Linked DNA regions of Cricetulus griseus. The protein of the gene in region 2 interacts with the protein of the main gene of each other region in a biochemical or structural test. Links are inferred from orthologs where the notes say so. Each region holds a gene or a part of one and is shown on either strand. Other genes may lie near its edges.

Evidence for each region.
Region 1: the proteins of Ncoa6 (region 2) and Rxra form a complex in vitro, tested with the Homo sapiens proteins (5 studies listed by BioGRID). The link is inferred for Cricetulus griseus from reciprocal best matches to the Homo sapiens genes NCOA6 and RXRA.

The regions. Positions count from the first base shown.
Region 1 is NC_048599.1:139,356,328-139,360,561, forward strand, and holds the start of Rxra (retinoic acid receptor RXR-alpha), read left to right. Parts: upstream 1-1,404; 5' UTR 1,405-1,485; coding exon 1,486-1,513; intron 1,514-4,234. UniProt on the Homo sapiens protein: Receptor for retinoic acid that acts as a transcription factor.
Region 2 is NC_048599.1:24,227,956-24,231,504, reverse strand, and holds part of Ncoa6 (nuclear receptor coactivator 6), read right to left. Parts: intron 3,199-3,549; coding exon 205-3,198; intron 1-204. UniProt on the Homo sapiens protein: Nuclear receptor coactivator that directly binds nuclear receptors and stimulates the transcriptional activities in a hormone-dependent fashion. Coactivates expression in an agonist- and AF2-dependent manner.

The sequences.
Region 1 (4,234 bases), about 120 Mb from region 2:
ACAGCCCAGGACATTTAGTGCCCCTATTTTGCTTTTTCTTCTCTCTTGCCCTGGAAGGACAGGTTCCCCAGACCCCACAGGGCTGGCCTTCCTCTGGGACAGTTCTATAGACCTTCTGGGATGCTTCGAAGAAAAAGTGCAGTTCTGGAGGGCGGCAGTAGCGCACCCAGGCAGGGCTTTCCTTTTTTGTCTGGAGAGGAGGTGCTTTCTTTGGGCAGCACCCACGATGTGCCTGTGGACTTTGGTAAGCCCCTCTGCCAGGGCCTCCACGCTGGATGTTGGTCTGGCAGGCACCAGCTGGGAGTGGAGGGAGGCGGGACTGCCGGTTGCCTGGCTTGGCTCAGGGACACAGTGCGCTTAGGGAGGCTGGCTTGGCTCTGCTCAGGTAGCTCACACCCAAATCCGAATTCCAGCCGCCCAAGACGGCGGGCGGGTTGCGGAGGAGGCCCAGGCTCTCTCTGGGTAGGAGTGCTTCCTTTCGTTTTAAAACAAACAAATCATGAATTTAAAAGTCAGGGCAGAGAGCTGCCCAAGGTATATAAATAGCCTGGGGCCACTGGGCGATGTCCGAAGCGGGCCGCAGCGCCTCTCGAACCCCGCACCTCAGAAGAGGGCTGGGGCCGTCGGGGTAACACCGGTACGCGGACGCCCCCCCCCCCCGCCCCGGGTCTGGCCTTCGGTCGGTCAGATACCATGGTTCTCTCTGGGCCTCCCGCGTGTAAGTGGGAGGGCACTGGGGCATCCCCCTGCCCAGCTGCTTGCCTCTGGCTCATCACCCCTCCCCGGCCTCAGTTTCCCCATGTGTCCCTTGGGGTGCACGGGGCCTCAGCTCTCCTTTAGGGAGCCCTGCCAGACCATGGTCCCCGAGCGACCACGGCTGGCCTCTTTGTGTGTCCGCGCAGACAATGGCCCGGCCGCTGAGCTCTCCTCTTGGCCCCGCTCTCCTCCTCCTCCACCACGGGCCGCGGGGATTTTGGGCAGCCGGGGAGGGAAGGCTGCTTCAGCCGGCCGCCCCGCCCTCCTCCCACGCCGCCGCCCCACGGCTCCCGGGAACCCCTGGCAGACGCAAACTTGCAAGTTTGCAGGACGCTCACAACTCGGGGCCGGGCGGCGAGCGCGGGGCGGCGGCGACAGCGGCGGGCGGGGCGCGCACCGGCTGCGGGCGGGGCGAGTGGCGGCGGCGGCGCTGCGCCGAGTCCGCGCCCGTCGCGGGCCCCCCGCCGCTCCCCCCCGCTGCAGGCCGGGCCGGAGCGGGTCGCGGCGCGCGGCGGAGGCGCGGGCGGCGGACACGCGCGCCGGGCGCGCGCAGGCACAAGTAGTTTACATTGTTGGGCGACTTTTGCAACAACTCGCCGCGCCGCGGCCTCCGCGCGCCGCCGCCGCCGCCGCTGCCCGCCGCCCCGCCGCCGGGCCGGGCCGGCCGGCCGGGGGCCGCTGCGCTGTCGCCCTGCTGCTCCGCCGCCAGCCGGGAAGTTAGTCGCAGACATGGACACCAAACATTTCCTGCCGCTCGGTGAGTGCCGGCCGCGGCGGCGCGGGCGAGGGAGGGGGCCGGGGCTGGCGGGGCGGGGGCGCGTGCGCAGCGCGCGTGGGGGGTCCGGCCAGGCCCGCTGGGCCCCGCGCTGTGGCGGTACCGAGAGTTGGCGCGCCGGGCCCGGGGAGGCGAGTGGGCACAGGGCAACTTTTCCCGGGCCCGGGCTCGCGGCGGGAGAGGGCGAGGGCACCGGGCCTCTGACTTGTCGGGGAGCGGGAGTGGGCGGCGGGGCTGGGGCGAGCGGCAGGTTCGCTCAAGACGTGGAGAGGGGTCCCTCACGGTGCGCGTAGCGCGTCCGCAGAACCCCGGGGCGCCCAGCCTCAGCCGCCCAGAATCCGGCCACGCCGGAGGAGCAACTTCTGCGCTTGCTGGAGGGCTCCGGGCCTCCTTGGCACTGGGATGGGGGCGACGCGCTGGGCTCCGGGAGGCCACTGCTCCTCCGGGCTCGTCGGGCTGCTGTTTGGAGCAGGCCGCTGGCCCCTGGGTGTCTGTTGGCCCAGACGGAGTCTGCGATCTTGCCGTTCCCCGACAGCAGCCCAAACCTAGGTGGGCATGGTCACCCAGGGGCCTCTGATGAGGAGCATCAAACCCAGAACTGGGGCCCCACGCTCTGGCACCCCTAGTTGTTCTCCCTGGTATTTAGGGGGGGAGAACAGCCCATAGGCAGAAGAGTCCGTTTTCTTGTCTTGCTGCCCTCCCGCCAGCAGCTCTCAGTGACCGTCAGCCTGCCAACTCCGGGAGTGGAACCCAGCAGGGTCGGAGCCCCCCAATCCATTGCTCTCGCAGGGATTTTGGGAGCCAGAGGGAAACAGTGTAGAGAGACTTTATAAATGAGCTCTGGGAAGGATATTAATTTGGTGGTGAGGACAGCAGCCAGGCTGTCAGGCTGATGAAGAATTTGTGCTGAATGGAAATCAGGACAGCTGATTATGGACGAAGCTCCATGATGATCAGTGCCTCTTTGCTTGGCCATCCCCTATGAAGCTTGGGGTGCAGTTTTGCTACCCCTAGGGGTGATCAGAACCCAGCATGGCTTCCAGGATTTTTGGTGATTTGGGGAGGTGGCACCCCCTTGGCCCCAGCCTTCTTACAGCTCCCAGACAGGTCTGCTGCAGAGTGACTTTGATAGAGTGTTCCAAGTTTGTCAAAGCTTCAGACACTTCGTCCTTATGAGCGGTGCTGAAGACCATGGGGGCTCAGCTGAGCTTGAGGGTCTGGCTCCCAGGGTGTAAACTCTGTCCATGTTGTAGTTGAGAAACTGGCTTGGAGAGGCCGCACTTAGAGACTGTAAATGGTGGATTTGGCGTTGGAGCCCCCTGCCAAAGTCCACTGACAAGAAAGCTGTATTACTGTGGCATGTTGCTGTGGGGCCTGATGTGGGGTTGGTGGGACCCCTGAGACACCTCTTTCTCCTCCACCCAAGCCTTTATGTGTTCAGAGCTGGGTCCTTAGGACAGGAATGCTTTGCTTAGTCTCTGGCCTGGATCATGGCTAGGGCCTGGCAATACTTTGCCTAGATCCAGGGATGGGAAACAACATGCCAGGAGGGACAGAGCCCATTCTAGAAGTTGACACATACAGTTGCAGGGTGACTGGGCTAGAGTCTTCAACAAGAGGAGTTGTGTCTTGGAGCTGTTGTCCCCCCACAAGGAGACCCAGAGTCTTGGGTTCACAGAGTGGTGGCTCTCAGGACCAGCTTGTGGCCTCCCAGGCAGCTTGTGCCCCAGGGCTGAGTGGTGAGTCCTGGGCTCTGAATACATTTTATTTTTTACTAAGCTTGTGACCAGCTCTGAAGTCCAGTGCAGTTGAAGGTCCATTTAAGCAGCTACTTGCCTAAGCCCTTTTGTCAACACAGCCTAATCCCTCCTGGGGGCTGAGTGTCAGAGGATCTGGCTCATCCAGGGTCCCCACTGACAACTTAGGTTTGACTTGAAGTGGCTGGGAAGATTTGGCCGTCCTTTTTTCACTACCCTGCCACTTTTGGGGTCTGAGACTGAGGGCTCTTCCCAGTGTGCACTGTGTGGGGTTTGGTGGTTCAGATAGCCTCTGAGCCTCTCTCCACTGAGTTGATCTGTATGGGACAGATCTGAGAAGAAAGGGAGGATGGGGAATTTGCCCCAGGCAGTCCCTGTTTCCTGGCTTTGCTGCCCAGGGCTGGAGTTGGGGAGTGGGGTAAGGGCTCAGCCTGGCCTCAGCTTGGATGGTGGGACTGTAAGGCTGAGCCTGCAGAGTCCAAAGGTCCCAAGCCTGCACTGACCCTCTCAGCTGTGTGGCTCATTTGTATGTGAGGGTAACAGGTTTCCAGAAGTGGGGCTCTAGGCCTCCAACCACCCTCTTGTGTGGTTCTTGGGGATCTAGTGAACTTGGGGCCTGTGTGAGGGGGCTTTTAGTAACATTGGAGCCCTTGTGACCCAAAATAGAGCACATTCCGGTCGTCCCGAAATAACAGGGTCACATGACTCTCAGGAGGCTGGGCTTGGAGTCCAGCTTGGGCCTGACGAGGCAGTTCACGGTTAGGCCCCCAGCTGCCTACTGATTTGGGCATTTGTTTTGGGAAACTCTGGAGGGGACTCTGTTGTTGACTGAGGAAGTGTTAGGGTGAGAAAAAGTGACCCCCTGTTGGTGGTCTGACTGTGGTAGTGGCCTTGTCTGCCTGTATTCTCTTTTGGGCTGGTACTGTGTTGTGCTGGGCACAAGCAT
Region 2 (3,549 bases):
CAGAAGCTAGGAAGGAACCATGTTAATGAATATAAACTGAATATGGGATTTAAAAGCATATTTTTCAATGTACTTTCAGTAAGTAAATCTACAACTATGGCCATTTTTCTTCCTCTAAGCAGAAAAGGGCTCATGCTTTCTCTTTTGTGGGACAGGTCAACAAAACCCTGACCTGAGGAGCTGATGCCAAGCTCAAGTACATACCTATGCTGGGTAGAAGCTCTGGATGAGGTCCCACCTTCTCTTCCACTAGGCCACCTGCAAGTGGCTCAGATGCTACGCCACCATGATTGCCTTTTGTGGTTGGCGCTGTGGAGATGAGCTCAGAGGGTACCAGTGTGGTTACTATTGAGCGTACACTGGTTGGGAGAGCACCGCCAGGTAAGATGGGTCCTGTTGAGGTGGAGCTTGGGCCCATGGGGCTAGAGGTCATTTTTAGTAGCGTGGGTGCTGAGGGTGTTGGGGTTTTACTGTCCAGCTCTGTGGAGCACTGCTCTGTTCCCATTAGCCCAGGAGTTGTGGTCTCTAGCCCTGGGCCTTCAGTCTCTCCATCTGCACCATACTGTTCTTCCCCTTTTTCCAGAGAGCCTGTAACTTTCTTACAAGCCTTGGTCAGCAAAATCTGGCCAATTTTGTCCACTTTTCCTTTGCCCTTAGTGGATGAGACCGGGCTTCGCCGATTGGCAGAGGAGCCTGGACTATTGGTCAAAAGGGGAGAAACTACTGTGGTGGACTGTGAAGAGAGCAGAGTGCTCTGATCTGCTGAGGTGTTCATCTGAGGACTAGCCTCATCTGGATTTAATTCTTTTACTTGCTGGATAGAAGAATTAGGAGCGACGACTGGAGAGGATGTACAAGGAGGGGAAGGCAGCTGAACAGGAGTGGCACGTGAGCTAAGGACCAACGGCCGGCCTGTCTGTATGTTTGGAGCAGGACTGCTGGAGGGAACATTAGGTGCTACAGGAGCTGAAGAAAATTTTATGTTTTGAGGTATGTGTAAAGGTCCAACAACTGCGACGGAGGGAGGCATCAGGCCACTGTTGGTTGTCAATGGGGTTGCAGGAATTGTGCTTGGCTGTGATCCTTTCATAACCTGAATAATTGAAGATGAATTGATAAAGACAGGTGTAATGAACTGAGGCCGGGCATTAGATTGAGCAGCGGACTGTCCCTCAGAAACCATAACTTTGTTACCCACGTTGGGCATTGTGACAACTGTTGACATCAAGGCAGAATGCAAGTTTGTTGGCAGGGCTGCTGATGTGTTAGATGAAGTGGTTATGGGATTGGAAGTAACAAATACAGTTATTTGGTTTGGGGGCAAAGGAGTAGAAATGGAGGAAGAGCTGACAGGCCTTGACATTACTGGAGGGATGCTTGGTGCAACATTAGAGCTGACCTCACTCAATTCTGGATGCGCAAGGGTTGAACACGGCTCATTACTGTGAGGTAAGTTTAAGGAATTAGAGGGCTCTTTAGAAGGCGGATCCTGCAGTGTGGGAATGACAGATGCTTTTTTGAGGTCTTCCCCTGAAACTACTGGAGGTGCTACTTCCAGATCTGTAAGCCCAGGGGGTTTAATGGTCACATTAGGAGCTCCAGAGTTGTCAAGAAGTTGGCTTAATGATGTTGGTGCTTCTCTCATGGCAGGAGACATCAAATTTTTGTTCTCTTCAACACTGGGGAGTTTGTTAGCATCCAAAGGTTGCCCATCTTTTTTGGACTGATCTTCAGGGACAACCATTTTAGCTTCTTGGATAGGGACTACTTTCAGCTCAACATTTACCTGCTCCTTCCTACCCTGGGAATTCTGGCAATCATTGTCCTGAGGAACGTTCAAACTCTCTTTGTTATCCTCAAGAACAGCCCCCACTGCAGGCACAGGCACAGGCACGCTGGGATTCTGAGGATTAAGCCCACTATTGTTAGGAAAGCTTCCAGATAAAGTGGGATTAGCAATTGGAGTGGGGGAGACCAATACATTTCTAGGCAGTTCCATGTTCTGCAACAGGGTTGTGCTTGGTTGAGAAGCCAGAGTAAGTTTTGGGGCTTTTGAATTTTGCCTTCCAGGACTTGGGGTAGTTTTCCTACTGGACCCTGGACTAGACCTGCGACTGTTACTTGGACTTGCCCGTTTTGTTGTTCCAGGATTAGACTGTTTTCCAGAATTCACCACCACAGAATCTAATTTATGAGCTTGTGGGGCAGCAAAGTTAGGAGGATTATTTATGGTAAGATTTGAAGGTGCTTGCCCGATGGCTTTCAGAGTTGTTGGATTTAAACCCTGTTGATCAAAGCCCCTATTTAAATTTGGCCTGGGAGGTAAAGGAATATTAATCTGTGGAGGGAAGAGTCCTGCTATGGAGGCATTGAGTCTTTCTGGTGACAGACTTATTTCTGAAGGTTCTGTACTGGGAGGGCGGTTGTTGGGTGTCTGAGGATAATAGGGTCTGGGGCTGGCTCTGTTTGGAGTTTTAGGCCTAGATGTCTGGGTTGGTGCAGCAACATTTGGAAAGTGGTGGCCATGGGAGCTAGGCAAAGAATTTACAGGAGGTTGCTGGGGAGTTGCACCTTGAGTTGCTGAAAGGGGAGATGGTCCAGGTTTGGGCCCTGTCATCATTAACTGATTCTGAGAAACTACTAAATGTGACGGCATGTTATTTGGGCCTCCTGAAACAGATGGTACTTCATTGCCACTAGCTTCAGGAAGTGAGGACAACTCTGCTAGTGGAGAGCTAGAAGAATTCTGTGGGTTCTCCTGGTATACCATTTTCCTCGAATTACTTCCCAATGGAGTATTCACAGACATTGGGATTCTTTGTTTATCAGGTGATGGTGGCACAGAGGCAGGTCCTTGCAAGCTAACCATAACAGGTACATTGCCACTCTGCTGCACGGGCATTCTCTGGGAGTCTGGGTTCAGAGGACCCCGTGGAGGGTGGACATTTTGGGAGACTGGAAGCCTAATGGATTTAGGGTCTTGCTGCATCATGAGCATCATCATCATTTGTTGCTGCTGCTGCTGATGTTGCTGAGACTGTGGCTGACTAGGTGGTGGTGGTGGCTGTTGCTGCTGCTGCTGAGGCAGTTGTGGTTGTGGCTGCTGCTGTGGTGGCTGTGGTGGGGGTGCCACATGCTGCATGAGTTGAGGAGGCATCTGTTGCAGTGGCCTCTGTTCAACTGGTTGAGTAGGATAACCTAAAACAAGCCCCCCAAAATCAGGGAAGTTAGATTTTTCAGCAAGAAAACTTTGCTACCTTTAGAGTGTAGCTAAGCAGTACTCATAGGTAGCAGACTGCGCACAAACAGCTCAGGCATGCTGTTCCCATTGTCTGACACAAGCAAGGGTTCACACTGCTTAAGGAGGCAAAAAGCAAAGCATTAAGAACACGAAGCCCCTTGGTGTTTACGTTGTGAATGAAGCATTACTGCATTAAGACTGTATTATGCACTATAAATGAGAAAAACCCTATCAACAGCAAAGGGCTGGTTGCCCAGTATTTAGGTCTCAGGTAGAAATAATCAGTAATTCACTGTGTGTATGAAATA